Linked DNA regions of Diceros bicornis minor. The protein of the gene in region 2 purifies or fractionates together with the protein of the main gene of each other region. This does not show direct contact. Links are inferred from orthologs where the notes say so. Each region holds a gene or a part of one and is shown on either strand. Other genes may lie near its edges.

What was found. The genes of interacting proteins can lie anywhere in the genome.
Region 1: the proteins of UBE2O (region 2) and EPB41L5 purify together in Homo sapiens (affinity purification with mass spectrometry; 3 studies listed by BioGRID and IntAct, counting the BioPlex papers as one, with this or other methods). This does not show direct contact. The link is inferred for Diceros bicornis minor from reciprocal best matches to the Homo sapiens genes UBE2O and EPB41L5.
Region 3: the proteins of UBE2O (region 2) and RPL23 purify together in Homo sapiens (affinity purification with mass spectrometry; 3 studies listed by BioGRID and IntAct, with this or other methods). This does not show direct contact. The link is inferred for Diceros bicornis minor from reciprocal best matches to the Homo sapiens genes UBE2O and RPL23.

Annotation. Positions count from the first base shown.
Region 1 is NC_080749.1:12,668,172-12,678,263, forward strand, and holds the start of EPB41L5 (band 4.1-like protein 5), read right to left. Parts: upstream 3,714-10,092; 5' UTR 3,576-3,713; intron 1-3,575. UniProt on the Homo sapiens protein: Plays a role in the formation and organization of tight junctions during the establishment of polarity in epithelial cells.
Region 2 is NC_080757.1:56,740,517-56,750,650, forward strand, and holds the start of UBE2O ((E3-independent) E2 ubiquitin-conjugating enzyme), read right to left. Parts: upstream 3,981-10,134; 5' UTR 3,938-3,980; coding exon 3,533-3,937; intron 1-3,532. UniProt on the Homo sapiens protein: E2/E3 hybrid ubiquitin-protein ligase that displays both E2 and E3 ligase activities and mediates monoubiquitination of target proteins. Negatively regulates TRAF6-mediated NF-kappa-B activation independently of its E2 activity.
Region 3 is NC_080757.1:38,773,544-38,783,281, forward strand, and holds the start of RPL23 (large ribosomal subunit protein uL14), read right to left. Parts: upstream 3,714-9,738; 5' UTR 3,649-3,713; coding exon 3,636-3,648; intron 3,042-3,635; coding exon 2,958-3,041; intron 2,927-2,957; exon of another isoform or gene 2,791-2,926; intron 2,654-2,790; coding exon 2,525-2,653; intron 1-2,524.

The DNA of each region.
Region 1 (10,092 bases), on a different chromosome or scaffold from region 2:
TATTAAATACCAACATATTAAAAAATTATTCAATAGCTATAAATTGAGGATTATATCCTCATTTTATAAGTATGCATACTCCTATGTAATTAGGTAAACTGGCAAAGCCATGATAATTGTCATTTGAACTTCCCAAGGACTAAATTATACATACACACGTTTGAATACTGACTGGATTGTTTAAGATAACCAAGGAATTACTGCCATTTTTCTTTTAAATAGTGGTATTAAAGATATGTTAAAAAAAAAAAGAGTCCTTATCTTTTCAGATACATCTTTTAAGATACATACTGAAATATTTATAGAAGAAATGATGTGATGTCTAGTATTTGCATCAAAATAATACAAGGAAGGGAGTTAAGTGGGGATAGAGGTGAAACTAACTGGCCAATAACTGCTGAAGCTGCATGATGGCTACACGGGGGTTCAGTATACTCTTCTGAATATTTATGCATACATTGAATTTTTCCATAGTAACAAGTTTTTTTAAGGGGAAAAAAATGTTCGAAATGTGCTACAACTTTGTGGTTCCTGACAAGCAAATGATTTATAAAACAAGTTTTCTGACTTACACCTTATCCTACATCTTGAAAATAAAGACTCACTATACAAGTAGAGTTAACCTGCTAAGGAAAAACACAGCTTCTTTCAGGTTTAGAATTTTAAGAATTATGTATTTTGAACTATAAAACCCAGTGCCACAAATAACAAGTTCTTTTTACAAAAATATGAAAGCAACTTACTTGAAAATAAATTTTAGATGGACTAAAGATTTAAAGTGAAAGAAATGAGAAAGTACTAGAAGGAAACAAATAGTATATTAGGGTAAAGGGCTTTTAAAATTTTTTCTGCAAAAACAATTTTTTGAAGGATTAATATGCAGTTTAATAAAGAACTATCACAAATCATTAAGATAACACAACAGAAAAAAATGGGCAAGATATGAAGAAAAAGTTTTAAAAAATGATATGCAATAAAAATATTCATAAAAAAAGATGTTCAACCTCAACAGTAACCAAGGAAATACAAATCAAAAAGTAAGATATTGTCTGTCATTGAAAAGACTCAAGACAGCCAGTGTTGAAAAGGATATGGGAAAAGCCATCAACCTCATACACTGTCCTCTTTGGAAGAGGATTGGACCACACTATCAAAAATTTTAATGTGCACACCCTTTCACTCAGCAATTCTATTTCTAGTAGGATATCCTAAAGAATTAGTCCTACATGTGCTCCAAGTTGTAGAAAGAAGAACTTTCAGGCCATAACTGACGCAAAATTTTAAATATGTCCATCAACATGCAAGTAGTTACACAAATTACGGTACGTACAATGGCATATAATACAGCTGTTTTTCAAGTACAGTTGACTTACACACTGACAAAATTTATAAGTGAAAAATGAAATCAGAGAAAAAGGAATATAGTTTTACCCCATACTGGGGGAGCATACATATACATACTTATATTTTAGACACACACACACACACACACACACAAAAGGACTAGCAGGACATGCAAACTGTTAAGTGAGGTTATCTCTGGAGAGGGTCATGTGGAGGTACTTAAATCTTCTCTAAATAGAATCTAGGGGGCCAGCCCTGTAGCATAGTGGTTAAGTCCCAGGCACTCTGCTTTTGCGGCCCGGGTTTGCAGGTTTGGATCCCCGGCACCGATCTACACCACTTGTCAAGCCATGTTGTGGGGGCGACCCACATACAAAATAGAGGAAGAATGGCACAGATGTTACCTCAGGGCTAATCTTTCTCAAGCAAAAAAAGAAAAAGATTGGCAATGGATGTTAGCTCAGAGCAAATCTTCCTCACCAAAAAAAAAAAAAAAAAAAGTTTTCCCATATTCACTCTTTTTCCACCCTCCACTCTTTCATTCTTCATGCTGCAGCAGTGCATTTTTATCAATCACAAATCCGACCCGTTTAAAAATCTTTAACGGCCTTGCTCCATGATGGAGCTCCTTCTACCCGCCTGACCCTGCTGGCAACCCATTCCCAGCTGCTCACTCTGCTCAAGTGCCCCTTCTGCTCAGCCCAAGAATCTTTCTCACTGTGGACATTTTTTTTGCGTTAGCTGTTCCATTCTTCTGGAATGCTCTTTTTCCACTTCCCCTCTCCCCCGCCCTCTCCCACTTCCTCAGAAATGTACTCCCCAAGACTCCTGAGTCCTAATTAGGTGCTCCTTTTAGCACCTTAGCCTTTTCTTTATAACACTTAAGGAAACTGTAACTAAATACCCAATAGCTTATTTTTTTTACTAGGTATTTACCCCTCTACGACTCAAGGATGGCTCCTAGTCTGACTCCTTCACCACTACGACCCAGCTAGCATAGCAATCTGCATATTAGGCGCTCAATAAAGAACCTATCTTGACACTAAAATAATACAGTGGAATTTTTGCATAGTAGTATTATATGGTTTTTTTAAAAAAAATACTAGTTTTTAATCTGTGATTTCTAAGTTTTCTGCAATGAACTAACAAGAAGGGTTTCCTTTACGACCATAAAAATGCAAATAGAAATAATCCACTATCTAAATTAACTGAAAATTTTTTTTTAAAATACATATCTAAAATTTAAGTTTGTCATGAAATGTGTATACTCTCATACCCGACTGGTGGCCACAATCTTTGGTAAGCAATTGATTTTTGATAAAGCAATATACCAATGTATAACAAGTGCCATGAAGATATTAACCTTTTGTCCCAGTAATCCCAATACAGAAAATGTTTGGAAGAGAATAATTCAACAGAAGTTACATCATTTTCTAATGAAGTTTATCTATAAAAAGAAGAAAACCCTGCCAACTAGCTTATCTGTACAAATAATCCACTATGTTAGCTAGGGTTCAGCAACGTGTTAGTTATGTTAGAAATAAGTGTTACGGGTAATTTTTTCCCCGAATTCTTAAAAAAAAATACTTTGGATATTAATTTAAGATGCTGTCAAACGGTTTAAAAGACTTGATCTTCTTGCTCTCAAGTAAAATTCATGAGACTTGGTAACCACGAAGATAGTGACAGATACAATTAATGTTGACACACCCAAGAACCATCATCAACACGCCCACCGCCACCAGTGGGGGCGGGGAGGGCCCTGCAGACCTCGTCACCGCGGGGCACACACCTGCCTCGCACGATTTCCAAGCGGCTCAAGTTTTAGTCAAACGCAAATTAGTCCCAAAAGGACGCTCGAGCTTTTGTTACAAGACCGTGACACCAACTCAACGTGTGTTTTCTCCTTGTCCTGCCACAGCCGCCTCGCGCGCCGCCCCCACCACGCCCGCGACCCCGGCGGCGACCGGCACACAGCGACCGGCTTCGCCTCGGGCGCTCGCTCCGGCCGCGCCGCTCGACAGCGCCCGAAACTCGGAGGCCCTGCCCATTGGCCGCCGCCGCCCCTCCCCTCTCGGCGGGTTTAATGTTTTGCGGGCCAGCCCGGGAAGCGCGGGGCAGCCGGAGGGCAGCACGGCGCGAGCGCGGAGGCCGGCCGGGGAGGGGGGTCCCGGGCCGCGAGGGGCGCGGGGGCAGCCGGTGCGGCCGGGGCCGCTGGGCCCCGCGCTTACCTGGGCTGGGGACGACGGCGCGGCGGCGAAGGGGGCGCGGGGCGCCGGCGACGAGACGGGAGAGGTCCGAGCGAGGCTGAGGAGGGGGCGGCTCCTCTGGAGACGCCAAGAAATGGCGGCCTGAGGCGCACACCCACTCCGCGCTAATCCCCCGAGGACCCCGGCCGCCGGCCCGCCCGCCCCTTAAAGCCCCCTCTAAGCTCCGCCCTCGAGGGCGGGGCGCTCCGCTCTTAAATGGGCAATGACACCGCCCCGGAAATCGACCGGCTGGGCGAGACTCAGGTTAAACCGGCGATGCCAGGCCGGGCCGACCTGCAACCCGCGCTAGCGGCCTGGAGTCCGCTGCTGATTTAAAGGGGCGCTGCCGAAACGCAGCCCTGGCTATCTGACTTCCGCCCTCCGAGGGGGTGCGCGCCCGCAACGAGCCCCGAAATTAGTCCTGTCACAAAGGCGGCTTAGAGCGGTGGGAGCCCAGCGTCAGGTGCTGCTAGATTCGTTCATCCATTCGTTCAAGAAATTAATTCATTCAGCAGATATTTACTCCCTGCTGTTAAGGGAACTTTCATTCTAGTGAGGAGGAAGATGGTAACAAATACATGTATCAAGCAGAAAAATAAAGATGGAAATGGGAAATAGGTTTCTATTTAATACAGTGTGGTCAGGGAGATCCTCTGTGACAAGGTGACATTTCATCCATTCTTTCTACAGATAATTTACGGAAGTGCCTGGGCCAGGCTGTGTTTTAGACACTGGAGATACAAAGGATAAACAAGACAGACAAAAATCCCTCCTGCAGCTTCAGTGCTAGCAGGAGAGACAGAACATAAATGAGATAAATTAGTAAAATTAAATAAAAATAAATACTGTCTTTGCATCATCGAGTGGATGCTGACTCCTCTCCACCCTGTGTACAGCAGAGTCCACACTATGACAACCAACAGGCTTCTGAAGGCTGGTGTGGTTCCCTGACCAGAAACGAACCGGGCCGCCACAGTGACAGCACCGAATCTTAACCACCAGACCACCAGGGCTGGCTAAATACTCTGTTAGGCACTGTTAATGATAAATAGAAAAACAAATACAGGGAATAGGGAGAGGGAATGAGGGGTGGTAATTTTAGATAGACTGGCTAGGTAAGGAGGAAGCTCTCGATAAGAAGGTGGCCTTTGAGTGAAGACCTGAAGGAGGTGAAGGAGCAGCCTGTGGACGTCTAGGGGAGAGCCAAGGGACGAGCACAGGCCCTGCGAGGTGCCTGCTTGGCCTGCTCGAGGAACGCCAGTGTGCTGAGAGGTGAGGGAGCAAAGGAAAGAGTGTTAGGAGGTAAGTCAGAGAGGAGGGGGGTGTCCTGTGTGCCCTGGTCAGAGCTCTGAGGGCTGTGGGGAGTCACTGGAGGTGTTAAGTGGAGGACCCTGCTGGCTGAACTGAGAAGAGACAAATATTCATCGACCCCTTGTGGAGACTTGGCACTGCCCATTCCTCCACCACCCCAAGACTTAATAGTCAGGGGTGCCGGGGACAGCTGGGCTCTGCCCCACCCAGTCTTGGCGGGGGCAGCTCAGCAGGAGCTGCAGTTGCCCAAATGGCTTCCCTCAGCTCTGTGGCCTCTCAGCTGGGGTGGCTGAAATGAACAGCTGAGTTCTGCCTGGGCCTGGCTTTCCAGCAGGGTAGTTGGGGTTCAGCCCTCTAAAAGAGTGAAAACTGAAGCTCCAAGGCCTATTAAGGGAAATGCCCGGAAGTCACACAGTATCACCTGTGTTGCCTGTTATTGGTCAAAGCAAGTCACAGGGCAGACCAGTTTCAAGAGGGATGGAAACAAGATTCCACCTCTTTTTTTTTTTCTTTTAATAGTATTAGAGAAATTTTCTTTCTCTACTTTTTAAAAACAGCCCTATTGAAATATGTCACATATGATGATACAATTCACCCATTTAAAGTGTACACTTCAGTGGCTTTTAGTACATTCACAAAGTTGTGCAACCATCACTGCAATCTAATTGTAGAACATTTTCGTCATCTCTCATGGGAGGAGCAGCGTGGGCATGCAGGGCTGGGAGGAATTGTTGGGGGTCACCTTTGCATCTTTATCTCAATAAGAAAGCCATGATCGTGAGAAGGAAGGAAGCAGTGGACACATAGATGAAACATGAATGGGCCATGTGTTCAAGCTGGGTAAGTAGGTACATTAAACTATTTTGTCTATTTTATGTATGGGTTTAAATTTTTTCCATAATAAAAAGTTTTTTAAAAAATTCTATCTGGGCCATGTACTCCTTGGAAAACCTTCATGTCTCTCCAGGGCTCTGATTACCCCAGTTTGAAAACTGTACAGTCTTGAGTGCCATCCCCTCCAGCACCCCCATCAGAGCTGTCTCCCTCCAAGTATTACCCAGTGTTACCCAGCATCTCCAGCTGTTTGAAAGTCGTAGTGTAATTTATTTGTTTACTGATCAATAATGGAAGAATTTTCTGTCAATACTTAGAAACCTCCCTCATTATCCCAAACTGTTGCACAGCCCACCCGTTTAGAGAAAGTGTCCTCTTCTCCCCTTCTGCTCAGTCCTTTTTTCTACCTCCTGTCAAGGGTAGGGTTGAGGGAGGCAGTGGATGAGGTGAGAGGAATAGGTTGAGAAAGGTGGTTCCAGGCTCAAGGAAATATAAAGAGTTGGGGGAGGGAGAATGACACCTAAGGCCCTAAGTCACAGGAAGTTCTGTGTGCTCTAATCATGGGAGATTATTCCTAATAACAATTAACACTTTCCCAAATCCTCTCTCCCAGAGATAAGTACCCTCTGCAATATCCCTATTTTGTGGTAAATTAGCTCACTAATTGACTCCCACCAGAGACAAAGTTTCTCTCCTTGAACACAGCCAAATTAAGTAAAAATGCATTTGGCTGCAAATAATAGAGAATATAATTAACTGTACTTAAATAAGGAGTTTATTTTTCTCACATAAATAGTCTAGAGGTAGGTGGCTGCCTAGTATGGGTTCAGCTCCTCAAAAACACTATAAGGATCCTAAACTCTCTTACTCTTTCCATTCTGCCATCCTTAGCATGTACAGTCTGGTTTTTATGCTGCTAGCCTACTGGCCACAGGAGGGCTGCAGCATCTCCAGCTGTCCTATCTGAGTTTCAGAAGTGAAAGGAAGGGGGGAAAAGACCTTTTCTTCCTGAAGCCTAGTCTTTTAATTCAGGAAGGAAGTCCTACCACCCCCGTCTCACTGGCCAGAACGAGATGACCTGCCCATACTTAGACCAATTACTGACCACAGGAAAGAGAACACTGTGATTGGTTTAGACTGATAATAATTCACTCTTGAAGTTTGGGGAAGGGCCTGCTCTCTCTGAGATCAAGGTTCTCCATTAACTTCTTGAACAAATCCAATTTCTATTAGCAGGAAAGAGGGGGTGTTGCCAGGAAGAATGACTGTGGGTACGCTATACAGGGTGCCTACCACAATGACCCACTTTTTGGTGGCATAGTCCTGGCCCATGAAAAGATTTTCCTTTATTGAACTAACACCCTCACCCTAGATCTCCACGTCTATCTTAGGTCCTGATTTGCTTCCCGGAGCCACAGAGAAAGGGTTAGATTCAGATTTTGTGGGTTCTGAAAATCATACAATTTAGGAGGCAGCTCTTTAAGTGAAATAACACAAATTTAAGGAATCAAAATTAGGTACAGGGTCTTGGAAGGGGCCCACACAAGTAAGGAGCCCTAAAGCTTAAATCTGATTATCTTCATGGTAAATCTGCCTCTGCCCACAAGAAGAAACATAATCCCTCTTTCACATCACAGCCCTTCAAATAGTTGAGGACATTTGTCCAAGCCTGCAAAATCTTCTCCTCTTGTTCTGATTTCCAAGCTCTTTACTTTCTGGGTCAGCTTCTCTGAATTGGTCCACACTGGTCGGGCCCTTCATGCCAAAGGTGTTCTGAGCAGAGCAGAGCAGAGCAGAGAGAACATCCATATGAGATTCAGGCCTCCTGGAGACTGAAGGAGCCCTGCATTCCAAAGCCTCCATTGAAAAGAAAATATGCTCAGGAGAGTGTGTATCACGAAGAATTCATATATCAGACACTGGATCGAAGTGTTCAAAAATGCACACGAAATGAATCAAAAAACAAAACCAGTCATCAGGAAACACCACTGAGAGAGAGAATTTTATTAGCATACTGCAAAGAGTCTAGGCTTCAGTTCACAAGCTAAAAGATCTAAAACAACTTTAAAGTCTGTAAAGTGAGAATGATACCACCTTCCTCACAGGGTAGTTATGAGTGTTACAGAAAATAAGTTATCTGAAAATGTTTTCAGAAGTATACAACACAACATATAAGATAATGTAAATTTTACAGACCAAGGAACAAAAATACCTGGGTACTGAAAATAGAAGACGAGGGTTTCCCAAAATCAGGCCGTGGCCTGGGCCTAACTTCATGCAATTGGGTAGCTCCTTTTACCCAGCTAAGTCTTTCCTAAGCCACAATCTCATGTTTGAAAGTCCATCCTTCCTCTCTTTGCAAGTATTCCTGGGAGGAGTAAGACCTTAAACAAATTCATGCCACATGGACTAATTGAAGGATCTTAAAAGAATGGGGGTAGAGGTATTCAGAGAAGGGACATGGAAGGGTGAATTGAAGACAAGTCACTTCTTTCTCCAAAGCACTCAGGCTTTTCCCTACTTCTGGAGACTCAGGGCAAAAGACCTAAGCATCCATATTTCATGCATCACTTTATTCAGAATTATCTGGAACAGAGCCCTATTGATGTGGTGGCCTATGCTCCTTCTTAATCTTGATAGGAAGAAAAATTCAGAAAACCTTGGGTGGCTCCAGGCAAGTTCATAATATTGAGTAATAAAGAGCAAAGTGAAAACATTTTGCCATTAGGTTTGCCCAAGGGTGAAACCATGATGAGACTGGGAGACTCAAAAGAAGAAGAAGGAAGGAGCCAAGGTTCAGTGCCTCTAAAGCTAAGTGCATATGAGTCACCTGGAGATCCTGTTAAAAGGTTTATCTCTGGGGTGGGGCCTGAGAGTCTGCATTACCCGTAGCTTGCAGTTTGTTGGTACTGCTCATTAGTGGTCTTCATTTTGAGTAAGGAGGTCGTTAGATGACTGCCCCCACACCTGTGACTATTGCTTGACACCAGGGCCTGTGAAGGTATTAGGATACCATACAGTAGAAAGATCGGTGGTGACCCCCCTACCACTAACTCACTTGGACAAGGATTCATCTTTTCTGGCATTGGTTTTCTCATCTATAAAATGAGGTAATTAGAACACATGATTCCTGAAATCTTTTCTGGATCTTAAAAGCTGTGATTCTATACATATTCCAATATCTAAGAGGATGTCATTTAATTTCACATAAACCAAATACACAAAAATACTGAGTTTAGATATATATTAATTTAAAGTTTTGTTAAAAAATAACCCAAACCTCAAGTTTCCTTTAAAGAGAGAATCTTATCATATTTTAAATGCCTATTTTCCAAAATTTGATTTAGAAATCTGAGGTCAGGTTAAAGTAATGACAATAATTTTTCAAACAATTTCAAACATATAAATTGGTACTTCCCAACTAATTTGTTGGGAAGGGGGAAATTTCCCTCTTCCCTTCTTGGTTCTTTTGGCTGGACAAATAATTAAAATGATGTAAGACAGATTAACAGGAGAAAATCAAATTTAATTATGTACATACAGGAAATCCACATTAACATAAGAGATGTCAAAGACAGTCAGGCAAAATGAGATATATATGTCAATCTGGTCTAAGGAGAAGGGGGCAAGGATCTGGGATTTCAAAGAGAAGGAAGGCAATTCACAAGAAGAATGAAAAGAGTAAATGCTTGATAAACAAATGTTTGCTGGGGCATCCAGAAACAATGGGACACAGAGAAGACATTGATCAAACTGGCCCTGCTAGGTTCCTTCTTGTCTATCACACCTAGTTCATGTTAGTCTATAGTTATCTATAGTGATATCTCCTTCCTGGAACAGGTCCTCTACCTAAATTCTTTTAGGCAGTTAGGGTGAAGGTTAAAGGTTCTTCCTGAGTCTTTTTTTTTCTCTTAAAAATAATCAGCCTGAAATAATCCTTTTGCCAAAGAGATGTGTTTTGGGGTGACAAATTCTGCTCCCCTTAAAAATAATTTCTCTCAAAGAATATTGAATTTGGCTGTAGAGTCAGACAGACCTGCTCTAGTCTCTGCGGCTCCATTTGCTAGTTAGTTAACTTCCAGAAAGATACTTAAACTCTGAGTTTCAATTTCCTCATCTATAAAATGGGGATATAGTTGTGAGGATCAAATACAATGGAGGGAAATGTACAGTTTAGGGACATTATAGCTCGTTCTTAGTGCTACTAATGCTTGAGAAAGTGGGAGAGTAATGGTAAGAGATAGAGTGGGTATTCACAGGTCTCTGTATTTTTCCATGGTAGCAAATCTATTTCCTCTGAGGGTGGTTTGGTTCCCAGCAACAACCAAAAGTCAATCAGAATACAGTCAGATGA
Region 2 (10,134 bases):
GACTCAGGCAGCAAGCCAGACAGAGGCACCATCATGGCATTGAGTCCCAGGAGTTAGAAGGGGGGAAACTGAAGGACAAAGAATAAAATCACAGAACAGCTGTGAGAGTCTACAGCGCTGTGATCCTATCTGAATAAAGTGCAATTAGATGCACTCAGTCCTGCATCTTGGTTACCCTTACCTAACTTCTTCCTACTGCATCACAAGAACAATTGCTTTTAATGGGTCCAGCACCTGGACAAGCGAGGCAAGCAAACTTCACATGCTACGATGCTACACCTAAATAGCTTTCCCCATGGAAATGTTGGTCTGAGTAGGAGCCAAAAATAAACCGAAAAGCCAATACCTGAGGGACCTGTCATCAGGTATGCTACACACACACATAGCCTCACAACAGCTGGGTGATCACAGACAGACAGCTTTAATTTAGAGACATGAAATCTCAAACCCCACGAGACCTTGAATGTCATGGCAACTAAAGCAAAAGAAACAAGAGATGGGAAAACTAAACAGGGAGCTCCCAAACCTGGACTCACAGACAGCAGTCTGCTCTCTTCCTTACGGGGGCCATTCTGTCCAACGATGACAGGTGGAGAAGAGAAAGATCCACCATGTCTAGCCAGTGCTCAAGAAGGCCAAGAGGCTGTTGGCATTTGGCTTTATTCCAAAATTTTACTCAAAGGCTGACCACTGATAGGGAGGGGGTAAGTTTCTGCAGAGGAGATCCGTGGCCAAACGGGAAAAGTTTCAAGTGGATAAATCAGCTACTATGCTGAGGAGGTCAGGAGACTGAGGGAAGGAAGGAGCACAAGCTGCGCGCCTCTTTTAAGTCCTAAAGAAGCTTAACTTTGGCTGCTGGAAGCCTCAGGAACTGGACCATAAATTCCACAGTTCCAAGGAAGAACTACTTATTTTGTTTCTGTTGATAATTTTCATGGAAGTGGCCAGAAGACAGTAGGACTTGTTGGCTAGCCTCTTCACCTCTCTTTTTGAATTTGTTCATTAAAAACTTAATGAGTTTAACTTAAAACTTAACAAGAGACTAATCGTAAGCCTTTACTCATTGCCCACCAAATAAACATGAAAACTACAAAAATATTCCACAGCCTACTAAACATTTCACATTAAAAGGGCACTATTTAAAAAATTCCAATAGGTGGCAGCTTTAAAAAAAATGTTTCCCAAAACTGTCACTACATTATTCTATCAATAATTGGGTTCTCAAATCTCATAACCAGATTAGGGATGGAGCAAGAATCAGAACCTAAATGCTCAGTCTCAGTCTAATGGTCTTTCCATTACAGCACACTGTCACCTCAATGGATTTATAAACAATGGGAGGCGAGAAGGAAAATCTTCCTAAGCCACAGTGCTGCAAGGTCCCAGGACCCATTCTACCACCCTAATCGGTGGCCAGGAGCAAAGCAGGAGAGACGTTCAGATGACCAGGGTCATTTGTGCCTAGGGCTCATAGTAACAGAGAGCTACGTATCACGTATAAACTTTCCCCCCAAACAAACCCATTCACAAGTCCTAGAAGAAGAACTGGGTCCTGCCATCTATAAATGGACACTGCACACCACCACTTCCAAGAATTCCTGTGCCCCTTAGCTTCTGCTAAGCTCAGAAGCTACAGAAACTACAATTGCAAAGAAAACACCACCACTAGAGCCACAATGGATTTTAACAAATTCAAAGCAAGTCACAAGAGGGCAGCTCCAAACTATATCCAAGCTGGTGCCTTAAAGTTATTTTCTATTTAATTTCAAAATAGGTATTTTAAGTCAAACTTCATATAATTACACATGGTGGGGGAGGCAGACGGAATGTAACTGTAAACAAAGTCAGCCACCAAAATCAAGATGAACAGGAGCAACTGATAAACATGGCAGCTCCCGGTAGTGTGCTGGGCTTGCCTCCTGAGTCCCAGGGCAGGAGGCCACGACACAGTCAAATGAGTTGCATTCCAGAAGTCACAAACCTCTAGAGAAGATGGTTAGGGAAAAACATATTTTAAAATCCCACAGAAAGACACTAACAACCATTTGCTAGTAAAACAATGCACAAAGACAGGACATACAGCAAAAATCTTCTCTTCTTGACATAATACTGGGGGTAATTTTTAACAAGCATTCTGCTCCAAAAAATAATATCTTCCACATACTTTTGCACATGAGCTTATAATTTCCTCCCCGAATCAGAGAAGCTATTGCCTGATTTGCATTTCTCTGAGGGGAAGCCAGGAGTCCTGTGTGCGGATTTCTGTCTGTGGATGCATGCGCACTGGCAAGGAAAAAGATCCTGCTGGTATCAGCAGTCACTTCTGCCACTAGGAAATGGATCACAGGCTCTTCCTGGGAGTGGGGCCTTTTCCCCTGCCTGAGCCATCATCACAGTCCCCCTTTGTAGTGTGGCATGAAAGCCGCATTCCTCTGTGGCCTTTGTCCCCCAGGGTGTGAGAAACCCAGATTAACTTCTAAAGTCCCTTCCCCTGAAATCAGACCTCTCAACATCCCAGGCAGCTGAAACAGCCCAGGCCTGATTCCTGCTTATAAATGTTTTCTTGAAGGGGAGAAGATGAAGAAGGGTTGAAAGATACAGGGGTGTGTGTGTGAACCACTGATAGGAATTCACACTCAGGAAAACAAGACACGAAAAGCCACCAAACCAACCTTAGTTCAAGGTTTCAGGTTTATGATGATAAACCTCTTTGTTTTTGTAAAACTGCAATATTCACCAGCCTCAACCCAATACCATTTGGGAGTCTGATGTCTGCTTAACAGCCTCTAGTCAAGAAAAACCCTTCAGATTTCCAAATGGGTGGCTCTCCTCCATCCATGGTTCTACAGTATTTTTTTCAAGAAGTCCAACTACACTTAGGAGTCATCAATCCCAATCGCAGCTGTCACATCACCCCCCCCAGTACTATTAATATCACGGCACTGATAATGATTTTACTCACAAAGTTCCCCGCAGCAATTAAAATGAGGCAATAAGATAAAACCAAAAGGAGTTGGGTTTCTTCACCCATAATAATGCATTCTATAATCTAGTGAACTTCTTGGGCTTTTACAGTGCCCGAGTTTTTCACCTCTATCCTTGTTTCGGAATGCCCACAACCCCTCCCTGCACCGACCCGGCAGGGCCTTCCTCTCCGGATGCACAATGCAGTATGTAGCTCCTCAGGGGTCAGCAAAGCGCCGCGCTGGGGTAACGCCAGCGTGCCTCAGAGCCCCAGGGGTTCCCCACCGTGGTGGGTCCACGTTCACAATCCTGAGGCCGACACTACAGCATAGCACAACATGGCTCGGAAGTCCCTTCGCGTGGGGAAGCCGGGGCCCGGTGGCCCAGGGCTGGTGCAATGACTTTGCACCGGAGCGTCCCCTCCGCTGAGGCTTGTACTCTCACCTCGCCCCACTGCAGCTGCACCATTCTGGGCAGCGCCTCGCACACCTCCCCTCCCTGCCCTCCCCGGCCTAGGGCTCGAGCAGCTAACTCCGTCCTCCCGCCGGCCCCTGTCCGCCCGCCGCACCTTGGTCTCCTTCACGTGCTGCTTGACGCCCTCCGGGTACCACTGAACGCGCACGTAGCCGCGGCGCAGCGGGCTGGCCCTGCCCTCCTCGTGGCCCGCGCCGCCCGCCTCGGAGCAGCCCGAGCTCCCGCGGCCCTCCTCCTCGCCCTCCGAGTCCGAGTCCTCGCCGTGGATGAGGCGCACCAGCCCGAAGTGCACCGAGCCGCGGTAACGGCCCGACACCAGGTCGTGAGAGAACAGCAGCCGCTGCGAGCCGGCTTCGGGGCCGGAGTCTGAGGACGGCCCGGAGGCCGAGTCCGGGGCGGGAGCCGGCGCCGGGGTGGGGGCTGCGTCCGGGGCCTGGGCCGCGGCCGGGGCCTGGGCAGGAGCCGGAGCTGCGGGTGCGGGCGCTGCGGGATCCGCCATAACTGCTCTGTGCGAGTCTCGGGAGGAGGCGGCGGCGGCGGCTGCGGCGACAGCGGCGGCGAACGAGGCACGGGGAGGCGGGGCCGGCCGGCGCCAGGGGCGGGGCCACGGCGCGCTGACGTGTCCCTACGTGCAGCCGTCGTCAGGGAACCGAGTTGCGGTTGCTAGGAGCTACTGCCCCGTCGCTAGGGGACGCTGGAGATGCTGCCGGGACGAGGGGAAAGGACGGACTCCAAGAAGGAGGGGCGGGGCCAGAGGGCGTAAGAATAAAGGCAGCGGGAAGGGGTGGGGACCCAGGAGGAGGCAGTGGAGTGGTCACCGAGGAAAAGGGGAGTGGCCAAGGCGGGGCGGAGGATGGTCCTGAGTCTGTCAACAACAGTTAAATGAGCTCTCTTGGCGTCTCCGGCCTAGTCCTAGGCACTGGGAGAGATACGGAAAAAGCAAGATACAGTCCCTGTCCTCTAGGTGTTTATAATCTAGTTAGACAAAACATACATACATTAAAAGGCTAAAAAGCAACTCCAAGGCAGCTTGTAAGCAAGGCTATAATAGATATGTATAGCGTGTATCTAGAATGTATTGTATTAGGGAATTCCATGCAAAGCTTGGAAGGTCATGACCTCTTAGGGATTGGTCAAAGAGTTGGCAAAGGAGGCCCAGAGAAAGATCAGAAAGATAAGCAAGTATTAGTGGCCCCTGTGGTTTGGCTTTCAGCTCATTTAGATGAGCTCAAAGCTCCAGGAGGCTTAGTATGCATGGCAAGAGGTAGCATAGCAAGGTAGTTAAGAGTGGGAGCCATGGATTCCAATTTTTGGCACTGCCACTTACTAATCTTATAGAGGTGGGCAAGCTGATAAACTTCTTTTCACTTTAATTTTCTCATCTGTAAAATAGGGGTGATAATGCAGTACCTGTCTCATCAGGCAGTTGGGAGGATTAAACGAAATAGAACAGTGCCTGGCATCTAGTTCCCTCAATAAAGCTTAACTGCATTATAATATTTCAACCCCACCCCCTGCTTCCACCTAGACTAAAATTCTAAATTGGCAGAACTGTTATACTTATGGTCTGCTCCATATTGCCATTTTAAAATATAAAAAGTAATTATACTAATGTGTCCCCTAAGTAAGTTCCAAAAGCTTTAGATACATTCTCAGAGGACAGATTCATAATGGGTTGCTAAAAGGAAGTTAAGACTACTCAAGACATGGCCCTAGCCTTTCTCAGTCAAAATAATTTTTTCCACATTTTTCTGTAAGATCATCAATGACAGATTAGTAAAATGGTTCAATATTACAGTATTTAGGTTCTTTAAAAGAGGCAGGGGCTGGCCCAGTGGTGCAGCGGTTAAGTGCGCGCGCTTCACTTCCGGCGGCCCAGGGTTCGCAGGTTCAGATCCCAGGCGTGCACCGACACACAGCTTGTCAAGCCATGCTGTGGCGGTGTCCCATATAAAGTAGAGGAAGATGGGCATGGATGTTAGCCCAGGGCCAATCTTCCTCAGCAAAAAGAGGGTGATTGGCATTGGATGTTAGCTCAGGGCTGATCTTCCTCACACACACACACACACAAAAGGCAGGATCCCTGTTCTTTGGGTAGTTTACAGGCTGCCAAGGATATAGAATTACACACATGGAAAAGTTTAAGCACATACATGAAGCACAGATGGCAGCCTAAGTACCTAAGATGACCTGAGCCAAGTACTTAGAGAGTATTGGGGTAATATTGGGCTTGGAGTAATTGACAGTGGACCCAAATCTTAGAAAACTCACATACTAAGATATAGAAAAACTGAGGCTAAATGAGCTGAAGGAGAATTAGGATACGATTTAGGGGCAAAGCTAGGTTCGTAAATCATAGACTTCCCATCCCAGACCACAAGGCAGAATGACCATCTAGAATCATTGCTGTCAGGACTCAGTTCCCCACTCTCTCCCCCATAAAGACCTGGGAGGCTTAGTAGCAATAACATAGTAGTTTCTGTTCCACCTACCATGCTCCTTTAGCCCTATCTCCTAGGCTCCTGATAAACTAACATTTGTTGAGCACCTATTATTGACCAGGCACTATGCCAGGCACATTCACATATATTGTCTTCTTTGTTATCACAATTCTGGATACAGGTGTGGTTAACACCATATTACCAATGAGGAAACAAGGCCCAAGGAATTCAGCACTTAGGGTCACAAGGTAGTAACCAGCCGAGCTAGGTTGGAACCCGCGTTTCCAAGCTCCAAGTGCAGGGGCTTTTCTAGTTCCTGTGTCCATCTGGGGATGGGGGGTGAGCAAGTAGGCTGAAGGGGCAAGGCAATGCAGGCCCAAAATCTTTGTTGGATGTCAAAAATCCAAGTGAGTTTTGCATTCTACTCCAGCTTATGCCTGTGTTTGTTTTAATATGAAAAGAATGTCCTTTCCTCCTTAATTGTTGAGTAAAATTGGTACTCCAGGAAGATGTGCCTTGTTTATTCTGCATCTTGTAATAATGGCTAATAATAGCTACCATTTATTGAGCTGTAATTTAATACCACATACTATACTAAGTGCTTTACATAGATTACCCACCTTTATGTGGATTATCCCCCTGTGAAAGAGAAAGTATGAGCCCCCCTTTTGTGAAGCACCATGCCACGCTGTGCTGTTCCTACCACCACCACCAGGAACCTGCTAGGTTGTAGGTAAGAGCCCTTGATTTCACATGCAGATCTCTCCCTTACTAAACCCCTTTTTAGCATGTGGATCATGTCATATTTGTGTGTGTAACACTGGTGCCTGGCACAGTGTTGGTGCTCAGTAATGTAGCATATTGGTGGGTGTCAAAGGCCTGAGATTCCTGCTCCTCCATTTGGTCAGTTTCCTGTCCTCCCCTCCAGACACCCAAGGAGCTGCCCGTGCTATCACTAAGCCCTTTCTATCACCCCCAGTTTGAGTTTCATCTGAGCCCTTTTAGAAAGAGAGGCTCCATACATTCCTACACCCCTCATGGTGTCCTTCAGTGACCTCACTCAGACCTGAGATACTCCAGACAAGGTTTGAGGCTTGACTCCTTCCCAGACCCTGAGCCCCCAGCTACAGTCACTGCACACCCAGGCTGGTGAGTGGAGTGAGCCCAGATGGGAGTGTCTGCTTAGTTTTTATTTCCATAATTGTTGAATGAAAAAAACCTTCATTCCGTAATGGAGAAACCCCCTCCTCTCATGGCCCGAACACCCAGCCCTTCTTGGGGAATAGAGATGCTTCTTGGGAGAATTTTGCTTATTTACAAACGTGCCTGCCTGAAACTGAGCCAGCCTGGCCACTCCCCTTGCTAAGGGGCTGGCAGGGTACAGGACATAGCAGAGCTGGCAGCAAAGTGAACTGATCTCGGGGAAGCAGGCCCTGTCTTGTTCCTATCTTAACCGGCCACTGGGCCATCTCTTCAGACTCACGAAGTGTGCACGGGTCCCACACTGCCCCCTAGGGGAGCCCCACCTGCTTGGCCTCTCCAAGCCTGCCTGTAGGAGCAAATCCAGACAGACCCAGAGAACTCCTTCCACCCTGGAGTGGTGTCTGGGGGCTCTAGGGTGCCTTGAGCACTGGGGGTTTCATCTGGGAAGGTGGGTGGGAGGGGAGCTACCCCAGGGAGCCCTCTCACATCCTCAGGGGCTGGCTGGAGAAATGCCTCTGCTTGAGGCTCCAGCTGTGGGTTGCTCAAGAATTATGGGTTTTCAGAGTTAAAGGGGTCCTTCTTGCTCCTGGAGCCTCACCCCTCCTTACATTGAATCCCTGGGAGAACCAGTGGGACTTGCCCAAGGTCACCTTGCAGTACAGTCAGGATCAGGACTCAGGCCGGCCCTTGGCCATTCTCACTCCTGACTATGAGGAATGGTTGCAATCTACTGGGCAAAACACTTTGTGGTGGGGGCAACTGTGAAAAGGCTGAGCAATAAGTAAGAGCCCAGGATTGGCAGGCTCGCCCTGTTTCCCTCCTTCCTGAGGATACAGGAGCCAGGGACAGCAAATCTGCTGGACTAGCTTGAGAACAGTAGGGCTGCTGTCGCTCAACCATGCCACCCTCTTCACCACCAAGTCCCAAATCACCAGACCAGGGCCTTCCTCTCACCTCAATTCATGGGTACTTCCTGGATGACCAACCATAGGTACAACGTGACATCTCCCCAAACTCGTTCCTTCTCCCAGAGTTCTCATCCAGGTTGATGGCAGCATCACCTACCTGGGTACCCAGTTGGCCACCTGAGGGTTAGCCCTCAGTCTTAAGCTCCACATGCCATCAAAGCTCAGGTCATGACCCCTCAACCCCCTTTTCACACTCCCCAAGTCCAGAGCTGCTCTGCTGGGGGCTGCTCTGCAGGGAGGTGGGGAGGTGGGGTGGCGGTACAGCAGTGCAGCGGCTAAGCATGAGGTTCTAGAGTCAGTTGGACCTAGGTTTGAAGCTCGTGCTGCCACTGACTCACTATGTGACCTTGGGCAAGTTATTTTACTTCTCTGAGCTTCAGTTTCCTTTCTGTTAAATGGGAATAATAATAGTACCTACTTCTTAGGGCTGCTGAGAATTTAACTGCCATGATGAAGATAAAGAGCTTTGCATGGTGCCTGTATGATGTACCAGCCTGATAAACATTACCTGCTGTTGTTAGTTCATCTCCACTGCTTGCCTACACTGCTGCGTGGTCTCTTCACCATGCCCTGGCCACTAATCTATCTGCCCCGTTGTCCCTGGGAGACTGAAAATACGCATGATCATCCGACTTCTTGGCTTAATATCTTTCTATGGCTCTCATGGTCTACCAGAGAATGACACGTGTGCTCTTCATGAATTGATTCCTCTATCTACCTCCAACCCCATCTTCTACCTCTGCACCCAGTGCACACACTCCATGCTCCAGCCTCAGCTGCCTACTTCAGGATCCCAACTTTTTGGTGCCTTTGTGCCTTTTCACTTGTTCATCATCTGCCTGCCTGGAATTTTTTATTCTACTACTTCAACCCCTGTTCCTACCTAAAGAACTCCTTTTCATCTTACAAGACCCAGCTTGGGCCTTCTTATCTATGAAGACTTCCAAACACTTATTCCCTGTGCTGTATAGTATTCCCTGGTACTACCTGTGTGATTTTACTACCCTCTATTAGCCTGGTAACACCTGTGTGATTGTACTTATTGCCCTCGATTACAACTAGTTTTTGTACTCCTGTCTCTCCCACAGGACCATGAACACCTTAAGGACAGGGACTGTGTCTTCTCCATCTTTGTATCCCAGCATCCAGCACAGATCTGACTCATAGTAGGTGCTCAAAACATCTTTGTTGAATGATTGAACAAAATACGCCAACCTCTCCTAATGGCCCTAAAGGCATCAACAGGTCTCTGGGACACCTCTGTCTTTCCTCAAGTCCACAGCTCTCCATTTTTCCTAGATATGGAGAGGAACATACACACACCCCACACATGCACACTCACATCACACATACATCCACACTCACCCCACATGCATGCACACACATCCACACACACACGCTGTTGCTCTCTCCTTCGCCTTTAGCCTCTAGATCTCGCTGCCCATTACGGTAGCCGCTAATCATATGTGGCTCTTGAGCACTTGAAATGTGACTGGTCTGAGTTGACATGTGCTGTAAGTGTAAAACACACACTGAATTTTGAAGATCCAGTGCAGAAAAAAAGAATATAAAATATCTCATTAATAGTTTTATATTGATTACTTGTTGAAATGACAATACTTTATATGTATGAGGTTAAATAAAATATATTATTAAAATCAAGTTCACCTGTTTCTTTTGGCTTTTTTCGCATTTTCAATTTTGTAGAAAATTGAAAATCACATATGGGGCTCACATGATCTTTCTATTGGACAGCGGGGCTCCAGATGCTCAGGAAGCCGTGGTCCCTTCTTTCTCCAGGAGGTGGCGATCCCTCCCTACCTTTGACACCTCCCTTCCAGGAAGGTCTGGAAGGTTCCTGAGGAGACTGCCTAGGTAATATGGCAGATATTGAACTCCAAATAAAGACAGGGCCCCACTCAGCCCTGCAGTGAAGCCAGCCTATCTATGCAGAGAAGGCTTCAAAATAAGTCCACAGGAAGTCAAGAAGCTAAGTGCCATCCTCCTCAACAGAAGAATCAACACCCAGTTGATAGACTCATACTCTGTAGGCAGCACAATGCCACACTTTCAACATGGTCTGT
Region 3 (9,738 bases), about 18 Mb from region 2:
AAGGGAACACTTTCCCAGACCTTCAAAACAAAGCATCTACTGCACTTGAAAGAACTAGAGTCAGACATTCTTGGATTCAAATCTTGACTAATACTAACCTGGAGACCTTGAACAAGTTACTTAATCTTCTGGAGTTCAAGTTTTCCTCTTGTAAAATAGGAATAATAGTTACATTTCTACATTCAAGATCAGACCATGGAAATACAGGATTTTTATAAGGACAGGGATCCTGGCTATCCTTGAGGCAAGTATTATCTACCTATGTACGTAGACAGCTTCTGATCAAGATTTTAACAATGGGATACACACTGACAGGTAACTAATATTTACTGAGTGCCTCCTTTGTTGAACCCTCATCTACTTATAACCATTTAAATTCTCACAAATGAATCTAGTGGATAAATAAGGCCACACAAATCCAGGACTCTGGATTTCTGGTCCTGTCCCTTTCCACATTTCTGTAAATTATACGTAAGTCTAAGGTGAAGGCATGTGTTCATTTAGCAGCAACAAGCAACAAAGAACACATTAATGGAGTTGGAAATTTCACAACTATTTTTAAAACCATTAAGTGTTCTCTGGTCTGTCCCACAACTGATTGAGACCGACAGCACATCCTGCTGCCATCTCACCCATAGCGATGGCTGATTGCTCTGCCCTTCCCTGACAGCTCTCCAGGCCACAGATCAGACCCAGCAAGTGTTCTAAGAGGAAAGCCTGTCCACTGCATGCTGATCCCAAGCTACGTATTCATTCATCAATGCTTAACCACAATGCTACTTACTCCTTGCCCACCAAGCCCTCAAGCAGATATTAAAAGTGAACAAAGACTTCTGACCAAAAGGCTAAAAACTGGATGGTAGGGGGTACTGTATGCAGGGCTACAAGGAGTAACTGATATATGTGGCTGAGACCCATCACATTTGTACTATACACTGAGACATGGCTAGGACTTCTCAGGATGAGCAAGACTAAGCAGGCACAGGGGATAAGTTCAGGAGCTGAAAAGTTCAAGTATACTGAGTATCATAAGCTCTAAAGCCAGAGAGGACATTACAAGGCAGAAGTGCTCCAAGACCTCCCTTTTAATTAATATACCTAGAGCAGAAACATCTGGGGGGTAGCCCATGATTAAGCAATGAGCAGCTCCCTGTTTTAGATTCTATCAGAAGAGATTTAGGGGCTGGCCCGGTGGCTCATAGCTGTTAAGTTTGCGCACTCCACTCCCGGGAGCAGTTCACAGCTTCTGATCCCAGGCGCGGACCAACGCACTGCTTGTCAAGCCATGCTGTGGCGGCGTCCCATATAAAGTAGAGGAAAATAGGCACAGATGTTAGCCCAGGGCCAATCTTCCTCAGCAAAAAGAGGAGGATTGGCAACGGATGTTAGCTCAGGGCTAATCTTCCTCACCAAAAACAAAACAAAACAAAACAAAAAAAGAGAGATTTAGAAGCAACTCTGCCAAACTTCTGACAAGTCACAATCTTGAATTAATCTCATCTGTAAAAAGAATCTGACTTAAAGCATGAGAAACACCATCTGTTGCTCTGCGCTAGTTAATAGGCCAGATGCTCTACATGCTCAGCTCATCACCTGAATCTCACAACCACTTGAGAAAGTATTCGAGTATCATTATTCCCTTTCAAATTAGTAGTTCCAGAAAAAAAAAACTTGGTGACATAAGTCTTAAAGCTGTGATCTCACCTGGTCGAGTTCTAAACCACCTATCAAAAAATATGTTTACTAAGTACCACCATGTTCATTTGTAGCCAAGGAATTGGCAACGAACTGAAGACAGGTACCTGCTCTGATGGAACTTAACTAGAACTTAACTTACGGGACTTAACTAAATGTCTCGCACACAAAAATTACCACCGACATCAAGGTTTTTTTTTTTTTTTGGTGCGGGGGGCGGGGACGGGCAGTGTCAACAAGGAAGTGAGCTGAAGATGACTGGATCAGAGCATTCCAGGCAAGTGGCACAGCAAGTACAAAGGATCTGAGGCACAAAGGAAGGGGTATAGGTCAGAGCGAGAAACCAAGAACTGAAAGGAATAGACAGCTGGGGCAGGCACCGTTAGGGTGGACTATAAATTCCAGGACAGGGCTTTTGTTTCTATAGGCACGTGAGGTGGTCTATAACTAGCTGCTGCACTTGCTGGGGAAATGGCAGGGTAACATACAAAGCCCCCCCCCCCCTTACACTGGAAGCCAGTGAAGAACTTAAGTAGGCAAGTGACAAGATTCACATTTTTAAAAGATGGGCCCTGGCTTCAATGTGGCAAATACATTTAAAGAGTAAGAGAGCAAGACAAATACAGTAAGATCAGACAGAGAAGAAAATGATCTCTAAGACAGCAAGAGCAGAACTTAAATTGCAGATATTTATCTCACAGTGCCTCCCCAAGGAAACAGGCTTCAACAGGCCGTGACAATGGTAAAATTATTGTTCCATTTTTCAACAAAGTCAGAAGCCCTTCAACTCTCCACCAGACGATAAGGAAAACTCTGTTTCTCTACTCACCCTTCTTTCTGAGCTCTGGTTTGCCTTTCTTGACTGTGGCCATCACCATGTCACCCACACCAGCAGCAGGAAGTCTGTTCAGTCGTCCCTTGATCCCCTTCACAGAGATGATATACAGATTTTTGGCTCCTATAAAAGGATGTAAACAAAAACGAATCTTTTCGACAGCCTGTTAGGCAGTTCTGTTCGGTTCGGTGTAATATTTCCCCAACACTTCCAGAGCCACTCCACTCACACTCCCAAGCAGCGAGTCCCGAGGGAGAACACCCTGTCACACCACCGATTGAAGCGAAACAACACAACATGCTGCCGCTTCACCCAAAAGCGGTGTTTTCACTCTGCCCTTTCTTGACGGCTCAGTGGGTCATTAGCAAAAGGCCCACTGAGTGCTTTTAAAAGGGGGAGTTTGGCGGGGTGTAGCCGCAGGTCTCACCTGTGTTGTCAGCACAGTTGATCACGGCTCCTACCGGAAGACCCAAAGAAATCCGGAATTTCGCACCGGAGGACCCACCACGTCCTGTGGGTAGGAAGAGAAACAGGAGAGGTCACACAGGTTAAGTCATGTTTCGGAGTTCCCTTCACCTTCTCAAGCTGTACACAGCTTTATTCGCATATGCCTTAGGAAACGGTACACTATAGATTCGCTATCTCTAGGACTCCACTTACTCCCTTCCCATGTGCCACCCAGCTCTCACGGCAAAGAGCCAATTCCTCACTATTACCACCCCTACGTTGAGATTAAGGGGCCTGGACGACTCAATCCTCGCTCCAACTCGTGCACCAGGTAGCTCTTCCTCCAAGGCGGCAGACCGCACAAGTCTCCCACTCTGCGGCCTAAGCCAGTCCAACTGCAACCCCATTACTGCAGCGGGGTGCGGAGCGATCCCGCGGAGTTCGGTCTAGAATCATGTCCGGATCCCGCCAGCTCAACTCTGCAGGCCTGCCCTCGCCACTTTCGGCGGCCCTTCCAGTGTTCTCGCGGTGCCCCTCCTCTCCCTCTCCGGCCCGGAGGAGAGCAAAGCGCCCCAGCTGCCTATGGCCGCCACTCCCGGCGAGGCCAGCAGCCACCTCGCGACAGATGGCGAAGGATCCCCCAGAGCGAAAAACTCACCTCTCTTGGACATCTTGAAGGCCGGAAGGGGACAGAAAGGAAGTAGCAACAAAGGACACTGGGATATGAACTTTGACGCACCGCCCACTCTCGTCACGTGCCTCGGGGTTCGCTCGACACGCCTCGTCCCCCAGGTCGCTGTGTTATTACGTAGTAAGTCCTGGACGTCGGCTTGTGATGTCGCTGCGAAGTGGGAGGTCGAGGGGTTGGGGGCTGCAGAAGTGAATGAGGGCCCGTCTCCTCTTTACGAGCTCGAAAGTAGTTGGGCACACAGAAACATTGGTTTGTTAACTTAGCCAATAACCTCGTTTGAGCACTTAGTATGTGGCAGGGACTTCGTGGACACTAGAGGTTCAGAAATGATTAAAACGTTCTGTGCTGTGTAGGGGCCCCCAAAGAACACAGGGTGTGGGGGGCCGAGGGAGAAAGAGCCTTAAACGGTTTCATTAGGATGTGATATAATTTCCCTAGATGTGCGCTTGATCCCGCACCCATCTGTATTTTGGATATCTTGCTTTATTAATTACCCCTTTCACAGCTTCAACCTCCCCATTTTTCTGGCTTCTTTCCTTCTGTCGATATGTTCATTCAAATATTTATTTAGCGCCTACTTTATGCCAGATACTGTCCTGGGCATACATGAGACTACATCAGGGAACAAAACAGATAAACCTTCTTGTCCTTATGGAAGGTACATTCTGCTGGGGGGGTGGTGAAGGTGGATATTAGACCCTAAAAAATAGATATAATAATTACAGTATATAGTATGATAGTGACTAGTATTATGAAAAAATAAAAGTAGAACAAGGTAACAGGGATCAGATCGTGGGCAGAGGGCCAGACTGCAATTTAAAATAGAATGTTCAGTGTGGGCTTCATGGGAGAAGTTGACATTAGAGCAAGGACTTTAAGGTGAAGGAGTTAGCAATGTCCAGGGAAGAGGAACTGGATCATGTAAGGCTTTGTACACCACTGTGGACTTCCTCATTTACCGACTGAAATGGGGAACCGTTACTGGTTTCAAGCAGAGGAGGGACATAATCTGACTTGTGTGTCAGAAGGATCACTCTAGACTGGGAGGGGACACATACAGGTAAGGAGAGCTATTTAGGAAGCTCTTGGAGAAACCTAGAAGAAACACGATGGTGGTTTGGACTAGAGTGATAGCAGTAGGGGTAATGTGATGTGGTCAGGTTCTGGATGTGTTTTGAAGGTATAGTCAACAAAATCTGGGATGTGAAAGAAAGAGAGGAGTCAAGATGTCTTCGAGGCTTTAGGTCAAAGCAAGTGGAAGATGGCGTTGCCATCGACCGAGATGGGGAAGGCTGTGAGAGGAACAGGTTTGAGGGATAAGAGTAGGAATTCAGTTTTGGATGTGTTGAGGTAGATGTCGATTAGACAACCAAATGAGATTCAAATAGCAAGTTGGACATATTAGCCTGGAGTTCTGGAGAGAAGGAGATATAAATTTGGGAGTTGTCAGCATATAGGTATATTTAAAGCCGTGATACTGGATGAGACCATAAAGTAAGAGTAAATAATCTACACAGAAATCAAAATATAATGAAATTCCTCGCATTTCTGAATGTATGATTTCCTTATCAAATTTGTCTCTCTCAATAAATGGAACCACCATCCATCCAGGTGTCCATCTGAGATTCCTGGCCAAGGACTTTTCAGTCTTCCTTCTAAATGTCTCTCAAATGTATCTACTTCTCTGGGGCCGGCCCCATGGCTTAGCGGTTAAGTGCGCATGCTCTGCTACTGGCGGCCGTGGTTGGATCCTGGGCGCGCACCCACGCACCGCTTTTCTGGCCATGCTGAGGCCACGTCCCACATACAGCAAGTAGAAGGATGTGCAACTATGACATACAACTATCTACTGGGGCTTTGAGGGAAAAAAAAGGAGGAGGATTGGCAATAGATGTTAGCTCAGAGCCCGTCTTCCTCACCAAAAAGAGGAGGATTAGCATGGATGTTAGCTCAGGGCTGATCTTCCTTACAAAAAAAAAAAATGTATCCACTTCTCTCCATCTCCTCTACTACCACTCTGGTCTAAGGCACCTCCATCTCTTGCCTAAACTACTTCTGAAGGCTCCTAAGATATCTCCTAGCCTCTATTTCTCCCCTCTCCGTCCACTCTTCATACAAAGGCCAGGAATAATTTTTCAAAAATATAAATATTATAATATCACTGTCCTGAAAATCCTCCAATGGTGTCTATTGTTCTTAGAATCAAAGTTAAAATCCATATCATGTCCTACCAGCTCCTGATCTGGCATCATCCTACCTTGTCGACCTCATCTTGCACCATGCTCTCTCTTGCTCTGCAGGGTTGGCTTTTTAGTCTTAGATACTGCCCGTGTTCTTGAATACCCATAGGCTTCACACGTTCTTGGAATATGCCACCCTGCCTACCCTTATCATGTATTTCATGTCTACTGATTTTTCAGATCTCAGCTTGCATATCTCTTTCTTAGGGAAATCTGCCATGACTCCCATATTAGGTCAGATGCCCTTGTTATAAGTTCTCTTAACATGCTGTATTTTTCCTTCATACTATTTGTTACAACTCCTAAATATATATTTGATGATTATTTGTTGAATGACCTCTCCCACACACACAACTAGTCTATAACTAGTCTATAAGCTCCATAAGGGCTGGGTCCATATCCTTTTTCTTCAATAGTATATCCCCAGCACTTAGCATAGGGCCTGGCTCGATAAATACGTGCTGAATGATTGCTGAACAAATGAAGAAGTCTATCTCAATGGTCTCCATATGTCAGCATCGTTGCATGAAGAAGTTTTCATTCATCTATAGCAAAATTAGAAATATTTGGAAAATATAGTATTTCTTATAAAGCTACATTTGCTCAGTTTAAAGGACTGCCTGTTATTCTGAGATTATCTTCTTCTATCGTTTTTGGTGTTAAAAATGTGCCTTTCAATCCTATATCAGCTTTCCACCCTCCCAATGCCACCATATTTTTTGTGTGTGATAATTTCAATGGTTCATGAAAACCAAAGGTCTGGGAAATGATCAGTCTCTACTTCCTTACTTCCTGCATGCACACATTCCTTGAACCCCTGTAATCTAGTTTTTGTCCTCACTACTTGACTGAAATTATACTAGAAATTATACATATTGAAAAATTATACTAGAAAGCTCACCATGACCTGCTCATTTTCAAAATCCAAGGACGCTCCTCAGTCTTTATATTACTTGAACTCCACAGCATTTCACACTGGGACGATTCCCATCTTCTTAGGGTTTCCATGATGCTAATAATAATAGAAGTTAATATTTATGGGGTGTTACCAGGTACCAGGCATTGAGTTAAGCATTTTACGGGAATGTAACATCTTGGATCTTCCCAACAACCCTGTGCTGTAGGTATTGTTATTTTTTTTTAAGACTTTTTTTTTTTTTTTTGTGAGGAAGATCAGCCCTGAGCTAACATCCATGCCAATCCTCCTCTCTTTGCTGAGGAAGACCGGTCCTGAGCTAACATCTATTGCCAATCCTCCTCCTTTTTCTCCCCAAAGCCCCAGTAGATAGTTGTATGTTATAGTTGCACATCCTTCTAATTGCTGTACGTGGGACCCCGCCTTAGCATGGCCCGACAAGCGGTGCGTTGGTGCGCGCCTGGGATCCGAACCGGGGCTGCCGGTAGTGGAGCGCGCACACTTGACCGCTAAGAGGTATTGTTATTACCTCATTTTACAGATGAGAAAACTGAGAAATAGAAAGATTAGGCCATGTGTCCAAAATCACACATATCACGAAAGGCAAAGCTAGAATGCCACCCCAAGTCTGGCTGATTCCAAAGCACAGGCTCTAAGCAACTGTGCTATACTGCCCTCTTCTCCTTCCCCATGGTCCCTTCTTATTGTGTTTCCGTGGGTGATCACACCCCCCTAATAGCTTCAATTACCGTCTATATGCTGATCTCGCCCCAGTCTGTGTCTCCAGTCCAGACATTGCTGCTTAGCTCTAGCCAATATATGGAACTGGTGATTGGGACACTTCCACCCCACAGGCACTTCAAACCTGACATGTCCAAAACAGAAATCATCATTTTCCCAGAAAATCAGCTTTTCTGCCTGTATTAGTTTTTTTTTGGTTGGTGCTACCACGAGCATCTCAACCAGAAAACAGGGACACAATTTATTCTCCTCTTCCCCCAGGCTCCCAGATCTAATGACCAAGGTCTACTGATTTGATTCTACTTCCTAAATTTTTCTGTCCACGCATCCAAAAGTCTGCCCTTGTTTCAAGGCTATTGCAATAGCCTCCAAATGGTCTAACTCGAACCTCCCATTGCTTAAAACCCTGTGCCAGCCCTCTAGCACTTACAGAATATAAAGCCCAAGCTCCTTAGCACAGCATTGGAGTCTCTTCCTGAAATGGCGTATCTTCTCCCTGGCCTCATCTCCCATCACCTTGCCTCTTACACTTCACACTCCAGCAACACCAAACTGCTTAGGATTTCGGGACTCTTTCTTGCTTTATCCACTACATGTTCTTCCAAACTCTACTCAAATGTCATCTCTTCCCTGTGCCATTTCACAACCCCAGCATGCTCTCCCCCCAGCCCCCTCTTTACTTAGAGCAGTGATTCGCAAATATTTTCATCTGAAGACCCCTTTACATTCTTAAAGTATTGAGGACCCTAAAGAATTTTTGTTTATATAGGTTATATCTATCTATTGACATTTACCAGACTAGAAATATAAAATCGTGAAATGTTTAAGTATTTTGTTAATTCATTTAAGATAATAATAAGCCCATTACTTGTTAAAATACATAACATTTTTAAATGAAAAATAACTACATTTTTCCAAACAAAAATAATTGAATGAGAAGAGTGGCTTTGCTTTACATTCTTTTGGAATCCCTTTAATATCTGGCTTAATGAAAGACAGCTGGATTTTCATGTTTCCACATTTAATCTGTTGTGATATCACGCATCAGGTAGCCTCAGGAAAGCTCCACTTTATACTCATGAAAGAACAAAAGTGAAACAGGTAAATAATGTAATATTATGAAATTCATTCTTCTGTTAGAAAGGTGTCCGAGACACCTAAGAATCCCAAGGCCACACTTTGAGAACCACTGATCTACAGGACACCAGAAATGTTTTACATATCACATTGTAGAGTAATTCCTTTATTTGCATGTTGACCTCAGTATTAGAACATGAAATCCATGACACTATAATTTACCTGTTACTTTCTGTAGTCCCAGCACACACCACAGAATGGACAGGGTACTTGCCAAGTTATTACCTTTCTTTCCTACCATCTTGTGGGTCTTAGGGCTTAAAAGTGAAGACACTAGGGGGCACCCGGATTTGAACCGGGGACCTCTTGATCTGCAGTCAAATGCTCTACCCCTGAGCTATACCCCCTCTGCTGGAAGAAAAGAGATTACAGCTTAATTGTGGTGTTTACTGACCAGGCATCGCCTCTGGTGATTAACAGTAGTTTGCTATTTATGATCAGCTGCTTCAGGTTTTAAGTGGTAGTAAAGAACCAAAAGAAGATTGCAGAGGCAGTCTGGACCCAAGTAGTGGGAAAGAAGGGCGAACTCCACTCTGACCCAGGCTTGAAGGTCCTATAGGAGTGTGCGATGGGATTCCTCTCCTCCATCAATTACAGCCTTTTCTACCTCTGGCACCTAATTTCCATCCTCTCTGCCTGCAACCTGAGCTGCACCTAATCCCCAGCCTAATGCTTTGCACACAAGAGGAATTGCTTCCCTTATCCTTCTCAAGACCCTCTCTGCTCCTGTACTAGACGTGCCCCCATTGTCTCCATTCTCTCCAGCATCTTCAATCACTTCCTCTCCCCTGGCTCCTTCAAACATCAACAGGTTTCCCCTAGATTGGAAAATCCTTCCTTTAGCTGTGATCGCCTGTCCATTTCTTCTATCTCACTACCAATTTTTAAGACAGGCTGTGACTTCATTTCTCTCATTATCTACTACTTGTCTCCGCAAAAAGTTCTGCTACTCTCCACATTTGCTTTCTCGACCGAGTTATTTTTTCCCTTGGAGTATGTATCTTGTTTCTCCAACTAGACTGTAAGGTCCTTGAGG